3 linked regions of the Notamacropus eugenii genome follow. The main gene of each other region encodes a partner of the protein of the gene in region 2 in a complex. Links are inferred from orthologs where the notes say so. Each region holds a gene or a part of one and is shown on either strand. Other genes may lie near its edges.

The links. The genes of interacting proteins can lie anywhere in the genome.
Region 1: E3 SUMO-protein ligase RanBP2-like (region 2) and NUP85 share a complex: the UniProt entries of both Homo sapiens proteins name them as parts of the nuclear pore complex. The link is inferred for Notamacropus eugenii from reciprocal best matches to the Homo sapiens genes RANBP2 and NUP85.
Region 3: the proteins of E3 SUMO-protein ligase RanBP2-like (region 2) and XPO1 are in contact, whole or in part, in a cryo-EM structure (PDB 9B62), measured with the Homo sapiens proteins. The link is inferred for Notamacropus eugenii from reciprocal best matches to the Homo sapiens genes RANBP2 and XPO1. Residues at the interface, in NP_006258.3 of Homo sapiens: Val2508, Val2509, Ser2510, Pro2511, Pro2512, Lys2513, Phe2514, Val2515, Phe2516, Gly2841, Phe2842, Gly2843, Ser2845, Thr2846, Gly2847, Leu2848, Ser2849, Phe2850, Ala2851, Leu2853, Ala2854, Asn2857, Ser2858, Gly2859, Asp2860, Phe2861, Ala2862, Phe2863, Gly2864, Ser2865; in NP_003391.1 of Homo sapiens: Trp60, Val63, Asp64, Leu83, Asn97, Gln98, Gly101, Ile102, Lys104, Tyr105, Val107, Gly108, Ile110, Ile111, Leu134, Phe149, Asp152, Ile153, Gly155, Ala156, Ser157, Arg158, Thr159, Ser160, Glu161, Leu163, Cys164, Asn167, Leu208, Phe211.

The regions. Positions count from the first base shown.
Region 1 is NC_092873.1:341,248,762-341,256,486, forward strand, and holds the start of NUP85 (nuclear pore complex protein Nup85), read left to right. Parts: upstream 1-4,704; 5' UTR 4,705-5,163; coding exon 5,164-5,196; intron 5,197-5,315; exon of another isoform or gene 5,316-5,848; intron 5,849-7,725. UniProt on the Homo sapiens protein: Essential component of the nuclear pore complex (NPC) that seems to be required for NPC assembly and maintenance. As part of the NPC Nup107-160 subcomplex plays a role in RNA export and in tethering NUP96/Nup98 and NUP153 to the nucleus.
Region 2 is NC_092877.1:204,448,472-204,456,558, reverse strand, and holds the start of E3 SUMO-protein ligase RanBP2-like, read right to left. Parts: upstream 3,024-8,087; 5' UTR 1-3,023. UniProt on the Homo sapiens protein: E3 SUMO-protein ligase which facilitates SUMO1 and SUMO2 conjugation by UBE2I. Involved in transport factor (Ran-GTP, karyopherin)-mediated protein import via the F-G repeat-containing domain which acts as a docking site for substrates.
Region 3 is NC_092872.1:643,246,866-643,254,814, forward strand, and holds the start of XPO1 (exportin-1), read left to right. Parts: upstream 1-4,928; 5' UTR 4,929-5,682; intron 5,683-6,115; exon of another isoform or gene 6,116-6,323; intron 6,324-7,949. UniProt on the Homo sapiens protein: Mediates the nuclear export of cellular proteins (cargos) bearing a leucine-rich nuclear export signal (NES) and of RNAs.

The DNA of each region.
Region 1 (7,725 bases), on a different chromosome or scaffold from region 2:
AGAGCCAAGGTGAAATGTAAAATGCCTTGCAAACTGCTTCCAGTTTAAATGGTTTTAAGTGTTAACCTCCTGGCACAGTATGGCAGTGGTTAGTGTTGCTCCTTATTTAGTTCCTGTCAACGTGCTGTACTGAGCGTTTCTTTTGGGTGTTAGGAAATAAATACCTGTTCCATAATGTATATAGAATAGCTTTTTAATTTTCCTTTTTGGGGAGATCTTAGGCACAAGTCAAAACCTGATCTTTAAGTAGTTTTCCCCAGAGGTGACTATGCTATAAGACATAATGAGCTAAAGTAGATGAGAAGAAAAAGTCTAATCTCCCTTTTAGAGTCACTCAGGTTCTTCCCATGACTAAAAGCAGTCCAGAACATGTACATAGATAGGTCTAGAGCCAAGAGGAGACCTTCATTAGAGAAGGGAGGGGCCTCAGTGCCTTTTGCTGGCTTGAGTACAGCAGTGTCTTAGTGTTCCACAAAAAAAATATGTTAATTTGTGTTTTTCTCTAAGTCAATATGCAGCTCAGGGATCCCATCTATTTGAGTTTGATACTACTGATCATGAATCATTCAGAGCTAGGTTTGGCAAACAATTTCTGTGCCCCATTTTGGGTTGCAAGTTTGCTGTGAATTCACAGTACACAATTAGCTAACATATCAGCAGAGACAAACTTTACAGGTAATGTTCCACACCCATAATCTTCCACCTCAGCAAAGAGAGGAAGGTGAATTTTCTCATCACTTTTCTTGAGCTATTGGGCTAAGCTTGGTCATTATAACTACAACACATTCAAGTTTCTAGGTCATTGCTTTGTTGAGGTGAGAGAACCATGTGTTGAGGCTTGGGGTGCCTGGGACCCCAAAATACTGACAACCCTGGGTCCTACCCAAATGAATTTGACCCAAGCCTTTTTACAGCCAATGAAAAACAAAGTTTATTAAAGATCCGTCATGTTGGGTTAACTTATGAAGGCTGGCCGTTTTTGAGGTTTGTATTAACAAGTGGGCCAGATAGAATCTCAGGTAGACAGAATCAGAACTGGATTGAATCAGAGCACCTTCATAGAGACAAGAAAGAGCTTATATACAGAAAGACTGTGCGAGGGATCTGGGGGTGGTCTAGTGGTCTAGGGTGATGGGAAGAGGGTTTAGGGAGGGTCTTGAGGAGGAGTCCAATGAGGATCTTAATGGGGTTGGAGTGACAACTGGTCAGAATCAAGACAGTAGGATTCTGATGTGATCAGGGAGGAGTTAACAGACAATGGAGGGTTTATAGAATAAAAGATGGGAAGTAACCCGAGGCAATCTGGAGGCAACCAACAAAGGAGGGCCAGGCTAGGTTAAAGGTAACCAATTTGGGTGGGAAAAGCCAGATTTTAGAGTTCAAAGAGGTTCCCAGAGACTATATTCCATTCTTTTATTATTGTTCTTTCTTTCCATTTGCATTTTTTGGAATCATTGCATTTATTTTCCAGTTTCTGCTTACTTGACTTGACATTTTTTCATGTAAATCTTCCTATGCTTCTCTGATTTTGTCCCCACAACTCAAGATACTCCATATTCATAAACTAGCTATTGAGCTGTTTCTCATTGATGGGTGTCTCTTTGGGATTATTCTTCTCACAAGTACAGATTCCAGGGGAAAGTGGGCTTCAGTTTAGATGGCATATGTGACAAAATCGAAGCTCTCAGGAATTCTTCTGCCACAGTCCTTAAGTATGGTTGAACGTTTCTTTTTTGTAAAGCCTTTAGCCTGCCTTTCCCCACCATGCTCAGGCTGACCTTGCTTCCTGAAGCAAGACATTGTCACTTCAAGGATGCCATTGGGAAGATGAGAAGTACAAAATCCTCCACTAGTCCAATCAAAGTGGGACTAGGGGCAGGAGAAAATCAAGGCCAGGGCTCTCTCTGCTCTTCCCTGGATTCCAAAAGATTCTTTCTGTGGAGTATAGCTGGAATGCTCTCTCTTCTCCATTGCTGGGGACTTGAATCTCTCAAGCAAAAACTGGCTCAGTATTTTATAGATGGCCCATAGGACATAACTAAGTTTCCTCAATCAATCAGAATACATTTCTTGCTATATTTGGAGAGATATCCAGGCCTTCTTTACATAAATGAGATGCGTTCCCACCTGTTAAATGTAATAGGGGTATAGCATCTTATTACTTTAGGTGGGAGTGGAGTGGATTTATTCAAATGTTTATTCAATAATTTATTCAAATTATGTATTGATCTCCCCACCTTCACTCTGCTCTTCACTCAGAGGCCCCTTAACTCTCAGCACCCTAGAAGAGCACCTGGAAAAATTACTTAAAGTTTAGGTTTGGCTCATGTCTAGGGTCTCTCTGAAACACAGGATCCCTCTCCCTTTTTAAAAGAAATTCTAGGATGAGCAAACCCACCTGGTTGGGCTCGGTTTCTCCCCAAAAAGGGGAAGGTTAAAAGGTCCTGGAGATAAAATATTAATGAGATCTAGGACAGCTATTTATTTCCTCTACACAAAAGAAAGGCTAAAAACAAAAGACTCACAAGTGTCCTTAACGAGGAAGGAGTAATGATAGTGGCTGGAGCAATTTAATGTTTGCAAAGGTCTTTACAAACTTTAGCTTATTTTGCCCTCCTCACAACCTGAAGAGGTTGGTGCTATTTATCATTGCCATTTTACAGATGCGGGACCTGTGGCTGGTAAGGGTTAAGTGACTTGCCCAGGGTCAGGAAGTTTATAAGTTTCTGAGGCCAGTTTTGAACTCAAGACTGAGTTCCAGGGTTCTGTCCACTGTGTCCACCTAGCTCCCTCAGTATTACTGTTATGTTCTCCTGTGAGACTTGAACAAAATATAAAACATTTTATGGGTCTGCTGAATAGACATTTTATCTTTCTCTTAGGCTCTGCCCTTTTCAAACAAATCTCTCCAGGTCCACTTCTACTGGCAAGTCAGGCCAGTCATTCTCTGATGTAGAAACTCCTGCTGCAGGTCAGCTCAGAGAGACCTCAGTATGATCTCAGACTCTGGAATCCACACAAGATTGCCTTGGAGGCAGGCCATGTACATCTTGGGCAAATGGAAAAGCTAGTCAGGAACTTCAAGGTTAAGTTCAGCTGGCCTCATTGCCATATATTAGCAGATGTCAGGTTGTCAGAGCTGATGAAAGGGGCTACCCTTTCTTTTTCCCTTCAGGGTAGTCTAAAGAGGAAAAGCACTTATCACCCATAAGGTGGAAAAGAGAGACAGAGAGCAAAATACCTCCTGGCTTATTCGCCAGTCCTAGCTGATACAGGTTTGATGTCTTTCAACCACTGGGAGTGAGAGACCATGAGTCTGCTTTGTCATTCCAAAAAGACAAACTCCAGAGAGGAGTACATTTTCCTAGAAGTGTTAAGGGATGCAATCCCCATCACGTAACAAGATGTTTAGCTTTGGCCATAACATCCTGCAAATTCCCTTCTAATCTTCATGTACCTTCACAATTAAAAAAAATATATCATTGCAGATGCTGTTTTCTAACTGAATAAAGTCACTCACATTGTGTTTAGTGATCAGATTTATTCGAGGTGTCACTTATATCCTGGTTTGGGGTTGGTAACCTCTTTCCCATCAAGGGCTCCCAACTCTGGGTTCATTATGCTATCAATCTAGAGTTGTACCAACTCTGGGGAAAATCTCTTAAACAAAGCCTAGTTTTGGCTCTTGTCCAGGTTCTGCCCAGAAGGGATTAGACTCCTACAGAAATGCTCAATGTACGAAATAGATTATGTACAGGACCGCTATTTATTTCCTCCACAACAAAAGAAATGCTTAAAACACAAAAGACTCATAAGCACTCACTGAAAAATATTTAAAACATGAAACAATAATCCATCAGTTCTATTACACTCTTCTGGGAGATAGGAAAAACTTACAGGACAGTTGTGGAACAGATAAACATTTCATTTTCAGCCCAACCTACACTGTCTGAACAACTCACTCATAGCCCCTGTCTTCTGGTCAGCCAGCCCACCTGGCTCCAACCTCCTAGACATGGTTTTCTTCTCCAAAAGGGGCATGACTACCAAGCAGAACCTCCCACTGGAATATCAGCACCCAGACTTCTCCATGACTCTGGGCTGCTCCAGCTCAGTCGGCGGCAGACAGGTGCCTTCTCCAGCTCATCTTACAAAAGAGCAAAGTGGGCAAACTGGGTTAAGTGACTTGTCCAGGGTCACACAGCTAATAAGGGTCTGAGAAGAAATATGAGTCTTCCCGACTCCAGGACTCTATCCACTGTGCCTCAACAACCACAAAGATCCCTCCAAGTAAAATAAAGTGAATGCACCGAGGGCATGGTGGTGGGGGATTTTCAAGTTCCCTGGGACAGCTGGAGCGACTTTAAATCAATTTAAAACCAGTGCTAGGGATAAGCAGTAGAGTTGGAACCTGGAGTCAGGAAGACCTGGGTTCAAATTCAGCCTCAGACATGTAAAAGCTGCGTGCCCGTCACAAGTCACTGAGCCTGCTGGCCTCAGTTTCTTCTTCTGTAAAATGGGGTAACAGCAGCCCCTACCTCGGGGTAGCTGTGAGCCAGTCCTTCCTGCCATCCTCATCCTCACTGGAGCTAGTTTCTACTGCGTGGCAGCGTCTGCCTTCATGGGTGCAGTCACAGCGGCAGTTTCCACCTCCGCGGATGCCTCCTGCACGGGGGGCACACCGCCTGCCGGCGGGGTGCGTGCGGAGAGGGCCCAGCACGGGCTAACCCGCGGGGATGGCTCCAGCTCGCCACAGGTCCAGACTGCCTCTCCACCCGCAGCCGCAGGGGGGCGCAACCTGCCCGCAGATCCCAGGCTTCCCAACCCCAACGAAGACCCGACGAAGAACTCTCCCGCCACCTGGGGAGAGCCGGGCTGCCCACAGTTATGCCCGGTGTCAGTGAGACGGATGGAAGCACGGACGTGATGCTTCAGCATCGGCGATTTCGGAGGGGCGGCTTCCAAGCCCCAAGTGGGGAATTATCTTTAAGGGTGGCTGATGTGAGCATGCGCACGTATGCGCTCAAATCCCGAGCGCCCTGACAGGCACTTCCGCGGCCAGCCGGGCGCCGGAGCGGGGTCCTTCGTAGGCGCGAGATACGGGGCCCGGGTGCTTGTGGCGGCCCTCGAGTCCCTGGTGCTTGCGTTGACCGGACCGCCAACATGGAGGAGCTGGATGGTGAACCCACGCTCACGGTAGGTTCCGTGCCGAGGGACCAGCAGGGCCAGGGACAGCCGCGGGTGGTCCAGGCGCGTTCCCGCCTTCCGTCGGAGGTCGCTGCCCCGCCCCTCCAGAGGTCACGGCCCGGCTCGGGCGCGCGCTGCAGCCTGGCAGGGCCGGGTCGTGAGAGGCGCCGGGTTGCATTTCCTTTGTTTCCCGCTCGCGCCTTGGCCACGCCCACGCACGTGGGTGTTCCTCCCTCCCGCGCCCTAGGCGGGCCTCCTGCCCTCTCTCTCCCTCCCCTCCCCCTCCCCTTCTCACCTGAGAAACGCCGCTCGGGTTTTCCCGGGGAGTCCTCGGGGGTTTTCTTGGTTGTCGCGCTGGCTGCGTCGCGTGGTGGGCGGGGTGCCGGCGGTGGAGTCCGGGGGGCCTGGGTTCGAGCACGGCCTCGTCCCTTTCCCGTTTCTGTGATCCTGGTGGAGTCCCTTAGCTAGTCTGTAAATGGGGGTAATGACATCAGCCGGCGCTTCGCGGGGTCGGGGTCGCCTTGTAAAGCGCTTTGCAAACCCCGGGCCGGTCACTCCGCAGCAGGGGGACATCCTGGGGCCCGCCCCCCGGGGTGTGGGCAGGAGCGGAGGAGAGCCGTGAAGTGCTGGGTCCGAGCGGGGGGCCGCTCGTCCTCCCCGGGTAAGTGCGGCGTGCGCGTTAGCTGTCGTTGCTACTGCTGTTTAAGCGATGGCTCCTCAGCATCGTTATTATCGACAGCCGTCCCCGCTATCTGTTATAGTAGAGTGAATGACTGACATGGGAATGCTTCACGTGGTTGAGTGATTGCTCGCCATCCCAGGGCAGGGGGGGAGTGGGAAGGGAGGGTGCTAGAATTAGACAGTTAGAACCGCAGTGCTTGCCCTTTACCACACAGTCGCACCATCTCTCACGGGCCCCTCCGCACTTGTGTGACCTGCGTGGCCGCCACCAGCGCTGGGGCTTCTCCCGCCTGCTGAACCGGACCCCATTCTCCTGAACCTGGTCATTCAGGGGCCTCTAGTGGTGCAGTGGACAGAGCACCAGTGCAGGCGTCAGGAGGGCCTGAGTGCAAATCTCACCTCAGACACTGGACACGCCACTAGCGGTGTGACCTTGGGCAAGTCACTTAACCCCAGCTGCCTCATCCTGGGTCATCTCCAGCCATCCTGATGAATATCAGGTCACTGGATTCAGGTGGCTCTGGAGGAGAAGTGAGGCTGGTGACCTGCACAGCCTTCCCTCACTCAAAACAAATTCAAGTGCAAGTCATGTCATCATTTCTCTGATGGCATGATCTTCTTGGGCAACGAAGGACGAACACACGTATATTTAGTCTCAGAGAAAATCAGAGATGTTTTCACAGTGGCTGTGGAAAGTACTGGAGAAACCCTTGTCTCCTCTGACTTTTTCTTTGTACTTTGGTTTAACTCCATTTTGAAGCAGGGACCAGGACCAGGTTTTTGTTTAGTGCTGCACTGAGTATCTGGTGACTATGCCATCAGCGAGTTTGAGGTGAGACAGTAGTATACGGTCATCCTGCAAGCTTCCCCCACTCTGGAACCTCACCCTGTTTTCCTCATTATATTTCTGAGCTGTTGGCATGACCCTTCTGCTGAAAGGTCATACTTGACATATCTCTGGTCATGGCCATTCAGCTTCTCTAAGAAAGAGAATGTATGGGTCGAACTAGATGTCCTTGAAACTCACGTCCACTCAATAGATTCTGTGAATCACTGCTGAAGCTAATTAGGCAGAAAAAAGGATACACGTAGGAAGGAGTGCATGTTGTTATTTCTATAAATAGTAATAGAATAAAGCAATTAAAAAAAAAAAGTCACACCCCACATAGATACCAGCTGATAATCTGCAGAGTTCATGACAATCTTGAAATGACTGAAATAATGCTACTTAAGAGTAATACTTATTTTTTAAACTGTATCTTATTGATGCCTTTTGCCTTTGCACCAGTCATTTCCAACCTTCTCTAGATTGCACCTCTTAATTGTGGATACTCCAGGATCCTGTCCTGGGCCCACTTCTTGTCTCTTGCTTGGTGACCTCAGCAGTTTTCATGAGTTTAATTACCATTTACAAATGATTCCTAAATTCTACATATCCTGCCTGAGTATCTCCTGAGCATTGCTCAGATATCTCTGTTGGATATTTCAAACTAGGTTGCCTATAGACATCTTAAACTCAACTTCTCCAAAACAACTCGTTTTCTTTTCCCTCAGTCTCACCCAAGTTCAGTTCTCCTGATCATCTCTATTTCTATTGCGCATCCCCTTCCTTCTAGTCACTCAGATTTTCCATCTCGGTGTTGTTCTGAAGTACTCATTCTCTCTCATCACACATATAGTCACTCAGTTGACACATCTTGCCATTTCTGTGTCCATGACATCCTTTGCTTCTGACCTGATCTTTGTATTCACATAAACACCAATGCAATTCGAACCTACATCACCTTTCACTGCCATGGCCTCTTAATTGGTCTTCTTACACAACTGCCAAGAGATTTTCCTAAAAGTGCAGGCTAT
Region 2 (8,087 bases):
GTGCAGTCGGGCCAGATCGGAGCACACCCTTTCCTCCCTTTGCTGTTTGTTTTCTCCCCTTTGTTCCGATTTTTCTTTCACAACATGACTAATGTGGAAATGTTTAATACGATTGTACGGGTGTAGCCTCTGTCAGACTGCATGCCGTCTTGAGGAAGGGGGGAGACTTCACAACTCAAAATCTTATAAAAGTGAATGTAGAAAACTAAAAGTCATTGTTTAAAAAATTTAACTGTTTCTTTAAAATAGCACTTAAGGGAGTTTTATAGAGCTTTGTAAATAACCCATTTCATCCTCAAAATAACCCTGGGAGATGGGTGTAGCTCTTAAACCCCTTTACAGAGAAGAACCTTGAGGCCCCTCCAGGATCGCACAGCCACAAATTCCTGGGGCAGGGACTTGTTGGAGGGACAATTCACCCAAAGGAATCCGGTTTTATGTGTAGAAAAGCAGTCCTGTGAGTCCGTCCCAGGGATGGTGAGCTGGGGAGGCACTCTGTAGGGTTAAATAGGAGCAAGGGTCCTATTCGTTGTGGCTTACCCTACAAGGAGGTCAGCACAGTGCCCAGCATCTAAAGGACTGGGGGGAAGGGGAAGAAAAAACGAAGGGCCTACAATGTACCAGGCAGTGCGCTTAGCACTTTACTATGCTAAAGACATTTTCACAGTCATATTGCACGGAAGAATTAAAACGAATGGGAGAAACCATGAGAAAAATGAAACCAGAACATAACACATGAGAAAACAGTCTTTCATTCCGCATCCCGATTCCATAGTTCTTTCTCTGAATGTGGATGGTACTGATGCTCACAATAACCCTGGGCCATAGACACTATTATCATTTCCACTTTACAATTGAGGAAATTGGGGGAGACAGAAGTTAAGTGATTTGCTCAGTCATAAAGCTATTAAATGTCTAAGTTTGGATTTGAACCCAAGAACCCAGTGCTCTATGTGTGACACATCGTGTGACACCTTGCTGTAGGCAATGTCTTGCTGACTATACAAATAACTTTTCTACTAATCTAAATTTTTTACCATTGGAGTAATTAATGTAGTTTATAACCCTCCTCTGCTAACCCTAAGTCCCTTTCTCTCCAGAAGATCATAATTGAAATGGACATACTGAGGAAGCCCTTTACCATTAGAATAGATGAGTTTGTTATTATTAGACACCTTGGATCTGGAGAGGACAGAGGAATTTTACTAGTGGGAAAACAAGGCTTGGACAAGTTCAGGACATGGGAGAGAGAGGGAGATTTACTTCAGCACCTGGTTTAGGTCCTCATATTCCAGCAGTTATCGTTACACTAGTAATTTTGCTGACATAGTGAAAAAGACTAGTGAATAAACAGCCATTTCAGAATCTTTGTAAGCCCATTTTTGGGTTTTCTTGACAGATACTGAAGAGATTTGATTTTGTTCAGGTAGTTTTTCGGTCATGTCTGACCCAGCCTGGGTTGATATCCTGCCTCTGATACATCTTGGCTGTGTGACTCTTGAGCAAGTCACTTAAACTCAGTACTCTAGGCCAGAGACGTCAAACACAGCCCACAGGTCCAAACCAGATTAAAATACATTTGGGAATTATTTTTGAAAATAAATGTAAATGCAATAAAACAAAGATAATATTGTATTTTGAAGAACTAAGTTAATTTTCAACCCATGAGGATCCTTCTGCATGGATTAATGATGCCTTTCCATTTAGAATTTAACACCACTGCTCTAAGCAGTTCTCTGAAACAAGGGGTCTTTTTAAAAAAAAAAAATCAATCTATTTGTTTTTAGTTTTCAACAATCACTTCCATAAGTTTTAAATTTTCTGCCCCTTACTCCCCCCTCCCTCCTTGAGATGGCATGCAATCTTATATGAGTTCTACACGTACATTCTTATTAAACACATTTTCACATTAGTTATGTTGCACAGAAGAATTAAAATGAATGGGAGAAACTATGAGAAAAATCAAACCAAAACATAACACATGAGAAAACAGTCTGTTTCATTCTGCATTCCAATTCCATAGTTCTTCACTGGATGTGAATGGTATTTTGCATCAAGAGTCTTTGGGAGGTGGGGGCCACAGCCAAGATGTCAGAGTAGAAGGATGGACCTGCTCTAGCTCTCCCCCCATAGCCCAAAAAATACCTGTTAAAAAAATGACTAAACAAATTCGAGGTGGTTGCTCAGAGATCAGAGCACAGGCCAGGAGAGGAGTAAACTCCTGTCCCTTAATTGTGCCACCTTGGAGAAACTGAGAACTTACTGGTCCCTAGAGATATCTCAGAGAACAGCTACACAAAACCTCTGAAGCCTAGGGTAGTATACTCTCCACTTGGCAAAGGACTCAAAAATCAAGTAACTGGCTGGGGAAACGCCCAAAAAGGGGGTAAAAAATAAGACTATATTACTTTATTATTATTATTATTTACTATATTATTATTATTATTTACTATATTACTTTATTGGTGAAAAGGTATTTTCTTCCATCTTTTTGGATGAGGAAGAACAAAGCATATCATCAGAGGAAGACAGCAAGGTCAAGGCTTCTACATCCAAAACTTCCAAAAAAAAATATGCAATGGGCTCAGACAATGGAAGAGCTCAAAAAGGATTTTGAAAATCAAGTAAGAGAGGTGGAAGAAAAATTGGAAAGAGAAATGGGAGCAATGCAAGAAAATCATGAAAAGTGAGTCAACAGCTTGGTAAGGAGATCCCAAAAAATGCTGAAGAAAAATGGACTAACCCAAATGACAAAAGAGGTCCAAAAAGTCAAGGAGGAGAAGAATGCTTCCTAGAAAAGGAGGTCCAAAAGCTCACTGAAGAAAATAATTCTTTAAAAATTAGAATGGAACAGATGGAAGCTAATGTCTTTATGACAAACCAAGAAATTCTAAAACAAAACCAAAAGAATGAAAGAAATAGAAGACAATGTGAAATATCTTATTGGAAAAACAACTGACCTGGAAAATAGATCCAGGAAAGAGAGTTTAGAAATTGTTGGTCTACCTGAAAACCATGATAAAAAAAAAGAGCCTAGACATCATATTCCAAGAAATTATCAAGGAAAACTGCCCTGATATTGTAGAATCAGAGGGTAAAATAGAAATGGAAAGAATTCACCTGTTACCTCCTGAAAGAGATCCCAAAAGAAAAGCTCCTAGGAATATTGTAGCCAAATTCCAGAGTTATCAGGTTAAGGAGAAAATATTACAAGCAGCCAGAAAGAAACAATTCAAGTATTGTGGAAATATAATCAGGATAACACAGGATTTACTCCTACATGAAAAGATGTTATTTTTAACTCACGGGACCTTTTTCATTAATAGGAAGGGAGAATACCCAAAAAATAAAAATTTACTGTTGAGTGGAATGTATTAGGAGTAAGAGAAAGGTAGAATGTAGCAAATCATCTCACATAAAAGCCGTAAGACAATGGAGGGGAAGAGGAGGGAGGTGAATTAAATGAGCCTCTTGTGGAATTTAGCTTAAGGAGGGAATAACACAATTGGATATGGAAATCTATTTTACCCTGCGGGAAGGGAGAAGGGAAGGGGATAGGAGAGAGGACAGCATTTGGAGGAAAGGGATAATCAGAAGCAAACACTGTTGTGGGAGGACAGGTCAAGGGAGAGAATGGAATAAATGCAGGGCAGGAGAGGACAGAGGGAAATATGGTTAGTCTTTCACAACATAACTATTATGGAAGTGTTTTGCATTGTTACACATGTATGACCTATATTGAGTTGCTTGTTTTCTCAATGAGGGTGGGTTGGGAGGGAGGAAGGGGGAGAACATGGAACTCAAAGCTTTAACAATGAATGTTAAAAATTGTTTTAGCATGCAACTGGAAAATAGATATACAGGCAATGGGGTATAGAAATCTATTTTACCCTACAGGAAAATAGAGGGGAGGGGGATGGAAGAAGGGGGTGGTTATAGAAGGGAGGACAGACTGGAGGAAGGGGTGGATGGGGTGCATGTTGTCCTGGGGTGGGGAGAGATGGAGAGAAAATTTTGAATTCAAATTCTTGTGGAAGTGAATGTTGAGAACTGAAAAATAAAAGATATTAAGAGGAAAAAAAAGAGTCCTTTGGGAATGTTTTAGGTCCTTGCATTGCTATGAAGGGCTAAGTGTATCAGAAGTAGTCTTTGCACACTGTGGCTGTTATTGTGTATCATGTTCTCCTGGTTCTGTTCATTTCACTCAGCATCAATTCATATAAATCCAGGTTTTTCTGAAGTCTGACTGTTTGTCATTTCTTATAGCACAATATTATTCCATTACATTCATATACCACAACTTGTTCAGCCCTTCCCCAGTTGAAGGGCATTCCCTCAATTTCTAGTTCTTGACCACCACAGAAAGAGTTGCTATAAATATTTTTGTACATGTGGGACCTTTTATCATTTTTATGATCTCTTTGGGATACAGCTTTAGAAGCAATATTGCTGGGTCAAAGGGTATGCACATTTTTATAACCCTTTGGACATAGTTCCAAACTGCTCTCCAGAATGACTGGATCAGCTCACAGCTCCACCAGCAATGAATTAGTGTTCCAACTCTCCCACATCTTCTCCAACATTTATCATCTTCTTGTTTTCTCTTGTTAGCCAATCAGATAGGTATGGTGTGGTACCTCAGAATTGTTTTGATTTACATCTCTCTAATCAATAGTGATTTAGAGCATTTTTTCATATGACTATAGATAGCTTTAATTTCTTCCTCTGAAAACTGCCTGTTCATATCCTTTGACCATTTATCAATTGGGGAATGACTTGTTTTCTTGTAAATTTGACTCAGTTCTCTTATATTTTAGAAATGAGGTCTTTATCACAAACATGAAACAAGGGGTATTAATGTGAGGGGTTTTTTATATTTTTAAATGAAAAAACAACTATTTTAATATAATTGATTTCCTACATATTGTACTTTATGTATTTAAAAACATGATTCTGAGAAGGGGTCCACAGACCTCATCAGACTACTCAAAGGATTCCATGATTCAAAAAAAAGGTTAAGAATAGTTCGTATAGAGGAAAAAGAGAAAAGATACAGCCTTAGGCCTAGTAGTTAGTGGGCATTGTGCGAATGAAGATCCAGCAAAGGAGAATAAGAAGAAGAGTCAAACAGGTAGAAGAACCAGGAGAAAATAAAGAAAACCTGGAGAGAAGAGATCATCGAGGGTGTCAAAGAATGATGCTATAAATTGGTTTCATTTAATCGCTTTTTCCATTTTATGAGAGGGTTCCTGGGGATTTTGGGGTGGGTAACGACGGGGAGATGTTAGAGAATACTGGAAAATGACAGTTTTATACAAACAAAGATATCAATATAATGTTAAAATGTAAAAATAAACTAGAGATGACTAGTAACATTGTAATGTAGAAACCCTGCAAAATTTCCCAATAAAATCAGAAGTGAAAAAAAAGATTATTATTATTATTTGACATAGTTCTAGAAGTACTAGCTAGCTAAAGCAATAAGGCTAATTAAGGGAATAAGCACCTGAAAAAAAGGAAAAATTGGCAATTTACTCACAAAATAGTAAAGAATTAAAAACTAGACAGTTCAGCAAAGTAACAAGATATGAAATATCAATAAGACTCTCGTATTAAGGTCCTACTATATGCCCAGCACTATACTAAGTCATAGGGATACAAAAAGAAGCAAAAGACAGTCCCTGCCCTCAAGGAGCTCACAATCTAATGGGGGAGACCACAAGCAAACAAATATGTATAAACAAGCTATATAGATGATAAATAGAAAATAATTAGGAAAGGCACTAGAATTAATAGGAGTTGGGGAAGAATTCCTGTAGAAGAGGGGACCTTAGCTGGGGACTTCAAGGAAAGTGGGAGAACAGTAGTCAGACTGAAGGAGGAACAGCATTCCAGGCAGGGTGGACAGCCAGAGAAAATGCCCAGAGACAGGAGATGGATTGTCCTGTTCATGGATTTTAAGGAAGAAAATAGGTACGAATTTACTATGAGGGAAGCTGTGAAATGCGCCAATTCTTTTAAAAGGCAATTTGGAATGATCAAGATATCACAAAGTTTTTCATACTCTTTTGTCTAATGATCTCATTGTTGGTTTTGTACCCCAAAGAAGCTTTGATATAAAAAATGACCCATCTACACAAAAGAATCTTCATAGCAGCACTATTTCTAACAGCGAAAAGCTCAGAGCAAACTGTGTACATGTGAGAGAACAGCTGAACAAATGAAAAGACACCATAATGCCTCAGAAAGATGGAAATAAGGACTGGATGACAAGCACTATGCTAAGCACTGGGGATACATGTGGATAAGCCAAATAACCCCTCACTCTCAAGGAGTTCATAATCTAATTAGAGGAGAAAAGAGGGGAAATTAAGTCTCAGGAGTTAAGAGGACAAAGGGGCAGAGCAGACAGTAAAGTTTGATAGACCTTAGCAGTTCCAAAGCAGAAGGTCACTCATTAATGACCATTGGGAAGCAGATAGTGAGTGGGATGTGGGCTCTGAATAATCTCAGGGAAGGTTGGTGTTGAGGGTAGGGAAAAGGGGAGGAGGAAACGTCTAAGTCTGAGGGAATATCCATTAGGAACTGAGCAAGGGAGCAGAGGAAAGGAAGGGTTCCCTGAATCTTGTTCCATTTTTTCTCCAAAGAAAAAAGTCCCGCTTGCCCATTTGATGCTGTTTCGTTTCCAGGCAACAAGTTGAAAAACCAGCAAGAGTGGCTGCTGTGGGGGGCTGGAGCCCTTCCCATCCACTGCCCACAAGCCAATGAATGGACACTTGAAAATAATAGCTAGTTATTAGCTATTATGTATAAATATTTTAATTAAATACCATATGAAATAGATATAATAAATTATTTGTGCACTGTAATATGTATCTTAATATATTACATGCACAATTATGATATTGTGAATGTTGTGTGAGATGTAATTATATAAAATAGATAATTATAGATAGAAATGTATACTGTATTAATTACATATAAGATAGAATTATATTCATATATTAATTACATCATATAAACCATATTATTATATAGTTAATACATTGATGTATTAATAACTAACAATTAACTACAGATAATAATAACAGTAGTTAACATTTATATAGTGCCTACTATGTGCTAGGCACTGTGTTAAATGTTCTACAGATTATCTCCTTAGATCCTCATAACCACCCTGACAGGTAGGGGCTTTTATTGTCTCCACTGTACTTGAGAAAATTGAGGCAAACGGGTTAAGTGACTTGTTTGTGGTCACTCAGCCATTAAGTTATATCTGAGGCCAAATTTGAACTCAGATCTTCCTGACTTCGGGTTCCTGGGTCACCCCAGGATGACCCAACAAGAGCAAGAGTAAAATATAAATAGGAAGAATTCGAAGAAATGTGGACAAACTTGTGCCTGGTGATAGAGTGAGGAAAGCAGACACAAAATAACAATATACTCAGCAATTACAACTACATAAAATAGGCCAGGGAAATGGAAACAAAACTCAGATGAAATAAAATGGATACTGTTGCTACTTATTTGTTAAAGTTAGAGGTCACACCCTTCCCTTCAAGTACAGAAATGTAGAAGTATCTAGGTTGTTCAGGGATGACTAACACCTGAGACGTGAGGTGGCCACCTGTGTCTCCAAGAAGCTGTCGGATGCAGAGTAGCCACAGCCTGTACTATCTTGGCAGATGGGCTAACCCAGGTTGAGGTAATAGACAGGTCTCAAACTCATCAGTGAGTTACGGAGATGTCTACCCCAAGCACGTGAAGACTTGCCCTGGCAGAAATGGCAGATCAGAACAATTTGTTTCAATGGCTGGATTTGGATTCAGGAAGAGGAGTCTTTCACAACTCCAGGCCTGGCACTCTATCCATTGAGCCACCTAGCTATTCTTATTTCATCCTTCCTACCTACAAACATGTCCAATCTCCCTAGAGTTAGAACCTACCATCTTCTCAAGCAATAGTCCTATCTTCTCCCTTTTTGGGCCAAACTCCCAGAAAAAATTCTGTCCATTGTCTTAATTTCCTTTCATTCACTTCTGAATCCTTTGCATCCTGGCATTTGACAACATTCAATTAAAATTGCT
Region 3 (7,949 bases), on a different chromosome or scaffold from region 2:
AGTCCCTAATTTCCAGCATGCCTCCCTAGAAACTTTGAGGAATTTCCTTTTGGGTAAGATCAAAGCCTGTCTTTGTTGAGCTCAGATGGATAGCTTGCTCTCAGTGGAAGAACTAATTCACTCTGTATATTGTCTGGAATATTCTAATCTGGTTTCTGCTTGTTTTCTGCTTAAATAAATGAGTTTACTCACTATTCACTATTTGTGATGGCCTTTTAGATAACTAGCTTTTGATGGGATAGATTCAAGCCTTCAAATATAAATAAGAGGTACTCCTTTTTTTAAGGAATAGTAACCTAAAAAGCAGATTGAACCAAAGGGGAAAATATCCTTCCCTAGACTAACAATATTTAAGGGAGAAAATGGGTATAAATATAGCCTGGGAGAAAATGGGTATAAATATACTCCTTATCTAAGGAGAGAAGAATGAGTAGCCTATGGCACTAATTTCCTTTTTCCCCTCTAGGCAGAAACTAAAATTTCCTTTGGAGAAGGGTAGGCAAAATTCCAGATCCATCAAATCATACTACCCACAAATAGCTATTAGATAACCCAGGTGGACGTATACCCCTACATGGGCTACACAAACCCTACATGTAATATACACATATGTGCATATGTACATATGTAAACATATACATATTGTATATAGAGATATAGATATGCAACACCACCTCTAAGCTCTCTTCCCCAACCCCTACTTACACTAACAAGTTAGTTCCTTAGAGAACAGCTAATTATTTCTCCCCTCAGGGTTTTAGGAATAAACTTAAGGTTCTAGTAGTATCACTCTCAAACCCTCATCTGATGGGTTCCTCTTTGATTATGTTCGACTTAATTAGCTTTCAGAAAGGAGTATTTACTAAGCAGATAGAGAAAGGAAGATTTAGACCCAAATAACTCCCATCCCCCCACCCCCAGGCTAAGGCACACTCTCCTCTGGCACACACAAATCCCTGGGGAGAGTGGGCTCTAGTTTAGAGAACATGAGAGAAAGGGTTAACTCACAGCTCTTGATTTTTGGAATTCCTTTTCTCCTTTCATAGAGTTCTCAAGAAGTTTCCCTTTGGGATATGTGCTTCTCTGCTGGACTCTGATGGTAGGTGCTCTTGTACAGTCCTGTAGTTGCATTTCCTCAGTATTCTCTAGTTCTTCCTTGACTCCTGAAGCACATACTGCCATCAGCCACTGCTGTTCCAGGAACGCCGCTACCAATACAGATGTTCAAATCTTCCAACCCTTCCAAAGTCACAAAGTTTTCCTCTGATCAAGAGGAGGGGAGAAAATGCAGAAATTCCTCCTTACCTACCCCCTAAGAGATTCCCTCTCTGATGCTCAGCTGTAGTTGTTCTACTATTAGTCCGATCAGTTATAGGAAAGCCAGATTCTGACCTGGTTTGCTATTTTAGCCAACTTCAACCAACCACAAGACATTTCCTATGAAGCATCATCTGCTCTCATTCAATGACTCAAGTATTTTACTAATTATCTAAGAACTTATTCCTACCTAGTTTATACCTTTGACTGATCCTGACACTCTCCTGATAAAGCTACTAAGGCATAGAGCATCTTGTTCCTCACATTAACTGGGGTGACAGGCTTTAGGATGCTATCTACAAGTATTAATACACACACATATATATACACATATACACAATACTCACATAGATGTATACATTGCATATGTCTCTCTACATACACATACACATATGATCAATTTTTTGTTGCTGTTCAGTTACGTCCAACTCTTTGTGACCCTGTGGACCATACTGTCCTTTCTTGGCAAAAATATTGGAGTGATTTGCCCTTTCCTTCTCCAGTGGCTTAAGGCAAACAGAGTTTAACTGACTTGCCCAGAGTCACACAGCTAGTAAGAGTCTGAGACTGGATTTGAACTCAGGTCCTCCTGACTCCAGGCCTGGTGCTCAATCCACTGGGCCACAAAGCTTTTTCCTCACATGATCAACAGAGTAGCAGGAAAAATGTTTTACTTTAGGAAGTAAATGAGGTAAAATGAACTACAGGACCAAAGAAATCACTGCTTTTGGAAAGGATGATAATAGCTAGTATTTATATAACATAAGGTTTATGAAGTATTTTTACAAATATCTCATTTTTTCCCTCAAATCAACCCTGGGAAGTAGGTGAGAAAAGCGTGGCTCGAGGTTAAATGACTTGCCCAGGTCACACAGCTAGTACGCTTCTGAGGGTGGATTTGAACACAGGTCTGTTCTGACTCCAAGTCTAATGCTCTATACTGTTCTCTGCCCCGATTCTTATTAAGGCTTAGTCACTGAATGGGTGTTGACCCAGTCAAACTGAGACCTGTTAAAGCCCTTAGCTTGAAAAGGTCTAGGTCCCCCACTGCATCCTTGGTCATCTCCCATTGTTCTGATCTCTATCTGGCCACTAGACCCACAAGGCTCCAGAGGAGAAAGTGAGGCTGGTGACTTTGCACAGCCCTCCCTCACTTAAATCCATTTCACTAGTATGTCATGGCATTAACCTCCCTGATATCATGGTCCTCTTCTGGGAAAGGACAAACAACAATCCTTTTCACTGCACCACCTAGTTTCCTAAACTAAATATTCAATATTCAAGTATAATCTTTAAAACACTGCGATGATAACTATAGCTGGAAGGAACCTCGGAGGTTAACTAGTTCAATCCATTCATTTGACAAATGAAGACACTGAGGCCCAGGGAGCTTAAGTGATTACCAGGTCACACAGGTAAGAAATCACAGATTCCAAATCTATGGCTTCTTCCATCGGCTCCTCCTGATCTACCAAGAGGATAATGGACAAACCTGGTTGGCGTGGGGAGGCCTTTTTGCTGTATCTCTATGTTCCCTCTCAAGATGGATATAACAGTTCACCTTGGCAAGGCTCCTCCAAACTCTAAGGCTAGAGCCAGACGTGCTTATCTAATGGCCCTCTGGAGCTGTTACACTGACAAGTCTTCACCGGAGGACCTTCCATTCAGCATTCAGGGCTCTGCTTTGAGGTGGTGCTGGGCACAAGATGAACCCAGTGTCTTGCATGCAATGATTCATCACTATGGTCACACAGATCTGCTCCTTTCTGTTAAGGAACGTACAGAGATGAGCCAAATACGGGAGCACCAAGAGCAAGAATACTTATTCACAGCCATCTGAAACCACTGGGGTAATTTTTCAGAAGTTCTACAGGCAGCCCATGTTGGTGGCGAGAAGGCCGGCTGGACCCAGCTCCTTGGGCAAGCCTCCACGACATCCCCAGCCTGATAAAGGGCCTTTCTTGGAGGAGGGGTTTGTCCGCGGGCCAGGGCCAGGGCCAGGGCTGGCAGATCCATTTTGTCTAGAGGCAGCTCTGGCAGGTTCCTGCCTCAGTTTCCTCAACAGTAAAAAGAGGACGATAACGGCAGCTATACTACAGAACTGCTGTCATCACAGACATTCATAGAGCCTGGCACATACTAAACGGTCAGTACATGCTTTAATAAACCCTTTCCCTCACCTCTCAAACGTTCAGGATATTGTGCCTCTGTCATCGCGGGCACGTGTTGGACAACGAGTTCAAATCTAGGTCTAGAAGTCATCCAGTGTGATCAGGGGGTGTACCTGGGGAAAAGGGGGGGAGGGACCCCACCTGGTTCAGCAGACAGGTGCCCAGGGAGCCAAGGCTTGCGCCAGAGAAGTCCAGGCACGCACACACACGGACGTAAACAAACACTCATTCCCTCGCCACCTCTGGGTGGCAGAATGGGCTCAGTAACAAGTTTCCGTGGGGGCGCCTCCTTATTTACCCAACCGTTTCAGGAGAGCCTGAAGATCGGCTGAGGAGCGCCCGGCTCCGGGCACTCCCACGTGTGCGGACGCGGCTTCCTTTGAAGTCCCAGAACGTGGGGCGGCCCGCGGGCAGCAGGGGGCCGGGCGCCTCACGCCCCTCCCAGACAGCCCGCAGGTAGCTGGGCGCCCGAGGCTCGGCGCCGAGGGCAGCGGGGGAGCTCGGCCGGAGCTAAGAGCCGCGCTCGGCGTGTCCCCCTCCACGCCCCGCTCCCAGGCACCCCGAGCGATCGGGCAGCTCCCGCGGAGCAGGGAAGGCCCGGTCCCGGGGGCTGGTGGCGGTCTTCCCGCCAAGTGCACAGCAGCCCGACGAGCGCGGCCGGGGCCCGCTTTACATTCGGAGGTCCCGACACAAAGGGCTCCAGCTCGGCCCCGGAGGGCAGCTCCTAGCGCTCCCACCAGGCCGCCCAAGGCCTCTCCTCCTGCCTCCCCCTTACAAACGATTAGTTCTCCCGGCTCCTGGTCTACAGCCCCCACCCACGGAGCAGGCAAAGGGCGGGACCCACAGCCGAGAGGGCTGAGGCGGGCTCAAGACGTTGGGCGGGAGATGGCGGGGAGGGGGCGGGGCGGGGCTGACCTGGGGCTGTGGAGAGAGGGAGCGAACACTTGCCCGCGCGCTACCAGATCAAACTCGCGCTTCCACCAGCACACTGGCGGCGCCCCACCCTCTCCGTCACCAAAGGCGCCGGACCAATGAGCAGAGAGGAAAATCGGGGCCTGAGGGCCTCGAAAGGGGAGGTGGCGGGAGGTGGGGGAGGGAAGGCTACTTTTGACTGGCAGGCAGCCGTGACCAATCCCCGTGCGGTTTCCCCTTGTCCTCCCCGCTCCACTCCTCTCTCCCTTGCCTACTACCCCCCCACCCAGGCTCCCTCTCAACCAGGCCTATCTCCCCTCCCCCACTCTGCGGGCAAATCGCTGCTGGAAAGAGGCGGGGGCCTGAGCGGCGGGCTCGTGTGGAGGCTTTAGGTGGGATTGATGGGTCCGCCAGCCAATGGCTGCGTGACTGACGGCGCGGCTGTGGCTAGCTCCGACCAATAAGCCGGCGGGCTGGGGGAGGAGGCCCAGGTTCCAAACGCTCCGCGGCGCCATGGGCTGAAAACTCAACCGAGATGGAATCTCCCAGTCTGAACCGGTTTCAACCGGTTCCGAGTTTGTGGCACTAGGAGGGGGAGAAGCGGCGCGGCGGCAGCAAGAGCAGCAGCAGCAGCAGCAGCAACAGCAACCTCCACGGCAATAGCTACAGCCCCAGCAGCGGCGCCTGCTCCCGTCTTTGCTGCTGCCGGCCGTGCAAGCACCCGGAGGGGGAGGAGGGAGCCGCCAGTCGCGGAGGAGGAAGAGGAGGGGAGAAAGTTTAGGGGAGCCGGGTTGGGGGGGCCCAGCCGCCGGAGCCGAGTGAGAGAGGGCACTGCGTTGTGGTGGGGGGAAGTCGGACTGCACCCGGCAGCACTGAGCGTCCCCTGACTGGACTTCAGCGGCGACCCCCCCCCCCCCCCCCCCCCCGCTGCTCCTGCCTGGCCGGAGGGTCCCCTTGGGGCTGAACCTCTGGGACCTGACTTCCCTTCTCCCCTCCCCCGCCCCTCCTTTTCCACCCCAGCGGGATCGTTGATTCATCCGCTTCGTTATCGTTATTTTGGGGGGAGGTGCGTGTGAGGGGGGGAGGCGTCACTGGAAGAGTAAAACGTTATTGAGCTTTTTTTTTGCCTTTTTCCTCCCCTCTCATTTTTTAATTTCTCTTTTTTTAAGGTGGGCAAACTGTGAAACCCACCTTCGTCTCCCCTCCTTCCCCCTTCCCCACCTTCCCTCATCCCCTCCCAGCCCCCCACAAGGAAGGACGAGGCAGTTGGTTCAATCTCTGGGTAAGTCGGAACACGTAATGAGCGATCTTGGGGGGTCGGGGGGTGTAGTCCTGAGGGTTCGGGAGCCCGAGCTGGATCGAGGAGAGATCCTGGGTGGGGTGAAGTGGGAGGATCGGGGGGGCGGTCCGCCGCGCGGCGGGGGGAAAGGCCCCCGAGCGGGGTACGGGCCGCGGTGTGGTGCGGTGCCTGCAATTGAATGGAACGGCTTGTAGCGCTGGGGAGGTGGGAGGGGAGGGAGGTGGGGTGCACGGCCGCGGGAGGCGAGCCGCTGCCGCCCTTGGGGAGGGGGCGCGGGGCCCGGGGGCTGCCCCCGTCGGCCGGGGCGATGTGGGGAACGGCTCGGTGAATTATTATGAGTGGAAGTTTCCAGAAATACTGAGTGCAGCAGCAGGAGCAGCAGCATTGAAACGTCCGCCTGCGTCACGTGGCCCCTGGTAGAGGGAGCTGGGATCGGGAGGAGGGAGGGGCTGCGGTGGAGCCAGGCCCGCTCGGGGCTGCTCCGGCGTGTGCGCGCGTGTGTGTGTGTGGACGTGTCCACGCGTGCATGTGCCCGTGTCCGGCCGTGGCGGAGGTCCTGAGCGGAGATGGCCGTGTGCGCGGTTAGACCCCTAGAAACGCGTTTGCTAGGGCTGGCGTTGTGTGTGAGTGCTTTCATCAGCCCTCTTCCGGGGGTGGGAGGGAGAGGGGCAGAGCAGGAGCCCTTTCGGGGGTGTTTGAATTCGGCCACGGTCGGCTCGCCGTCACGTCCCTGGCTCGTTCCCCGGGGCTGGGGCGCTGAGCTTGGGTCTCGCCTGGTCTGCATACCTTCCCCGAGTGAGGGCGGGGGGAGGGCCCCTGGCGGCATTCTATAGTTAGAAGTGCAGCACAGTCAGTCTGGGTGGGAGGCCGGAGGAGAGCAGGGGAGGGCGTGTTTCTCCTGAATGAAGCTGGCGACTGCCCGCACACCTTGTAGCGACTTGTCTCTGACCTGTGGTGAAGTTAGCTGTGAGCTACGGTTAGGGGATGGCAGGGTGGCTGTTGGCTTGTTCCTGTTGAAGTGAAGAGCCCTCACTATATACTAGCATGCTAGTACAGACCAGATAAAATGGTAATCCCGCGTGGAGAATGGAACCTAATGAACTGGTGTTTGGAGTGGAGGGGGCAGCAAGAAAAGGTATTTTACCTGGCGATTGGATGTTTGTTCCGGGTTTTACTAACACTTAAAAGCTTTTATGGAGAGAGGAAGTTTAAAACACTGATGGTTAGGAAGTTGAATTTTTTTGGACTTTTTTTGTTTTGGAAGTCAAAAGTGATTGACACTGACCACAAAGCTCCCATTTCTGTACTTTAAGAATAGGTAGGTCGTTTTGGATGTATAGTACTGAGAGTGGCACAATGCTGTGCTTATGGGGGGTGAACTACTTTGAAATGGATACTCTAGAAGATAGAAAATGGGGTGGGGATTGAGGGGCACCCTAACTAGTAAAATGCAGCACTTCAGTTGCATAAAAAGCAATATTATTATAAACTAATTTTCTTCCATCCATTGACAAATGGTGTACTTGAGTAGACCCAAGTAAAATGAAAACGTAAACTATTTCTTCCCTAATTATCCAGTCCTAATTAAAGACCACTTTTGAGGTGTATATTTCATGTTCTGTATGAGTGAATTTGTTTTCTCAATATAAATGATGCTACCCTTCATCTTAGAATTTTTAAAAATTACATTTGGGAAAGGAAAGAGTAACTGACACCATTGAGAGCATATGTGAGAGAGATTTCCATTTTTCTTTTTTGTCAGTAGTTATTTTTGACTCAAGATTTTGTAGCTATGCTTATGACAGGTGCTGTGTTCTAAAAATATATGTTGTGTAACACCTAGGTTTTAAGAATTGATGTCCTGGTTGTAAACTAGTTAATAGACTAGTAAGTTTTGAAAGTAGTTAAATTGTTCTATCTCTTTAGAAAGTCTTAAAAATAATTTCTGCTTTTTTGTGTCTTAGGGTAAATTGCATTTTTTAAACTTAGTATTGACTTTAGGATTTTCATTTTACATAAGCGAAATGTCATAACTTAATTTTTTTACTTTGAAACTAATACAATGAACCTATCTTCAGTGAGTACTCTAAGGCTTATCAAATACAAATTAAGCACCACCCATTCAGTCTTAAGGTTTTGCTTATAGTTTGAGTTTTAGAAAGTTACAGTGAAATAATCTCCAAATTTTTCAGTGATGAAAGTATTAATGTATTTTGGCTTTACACTTTGATAGTGCTGGTGAAAATTCC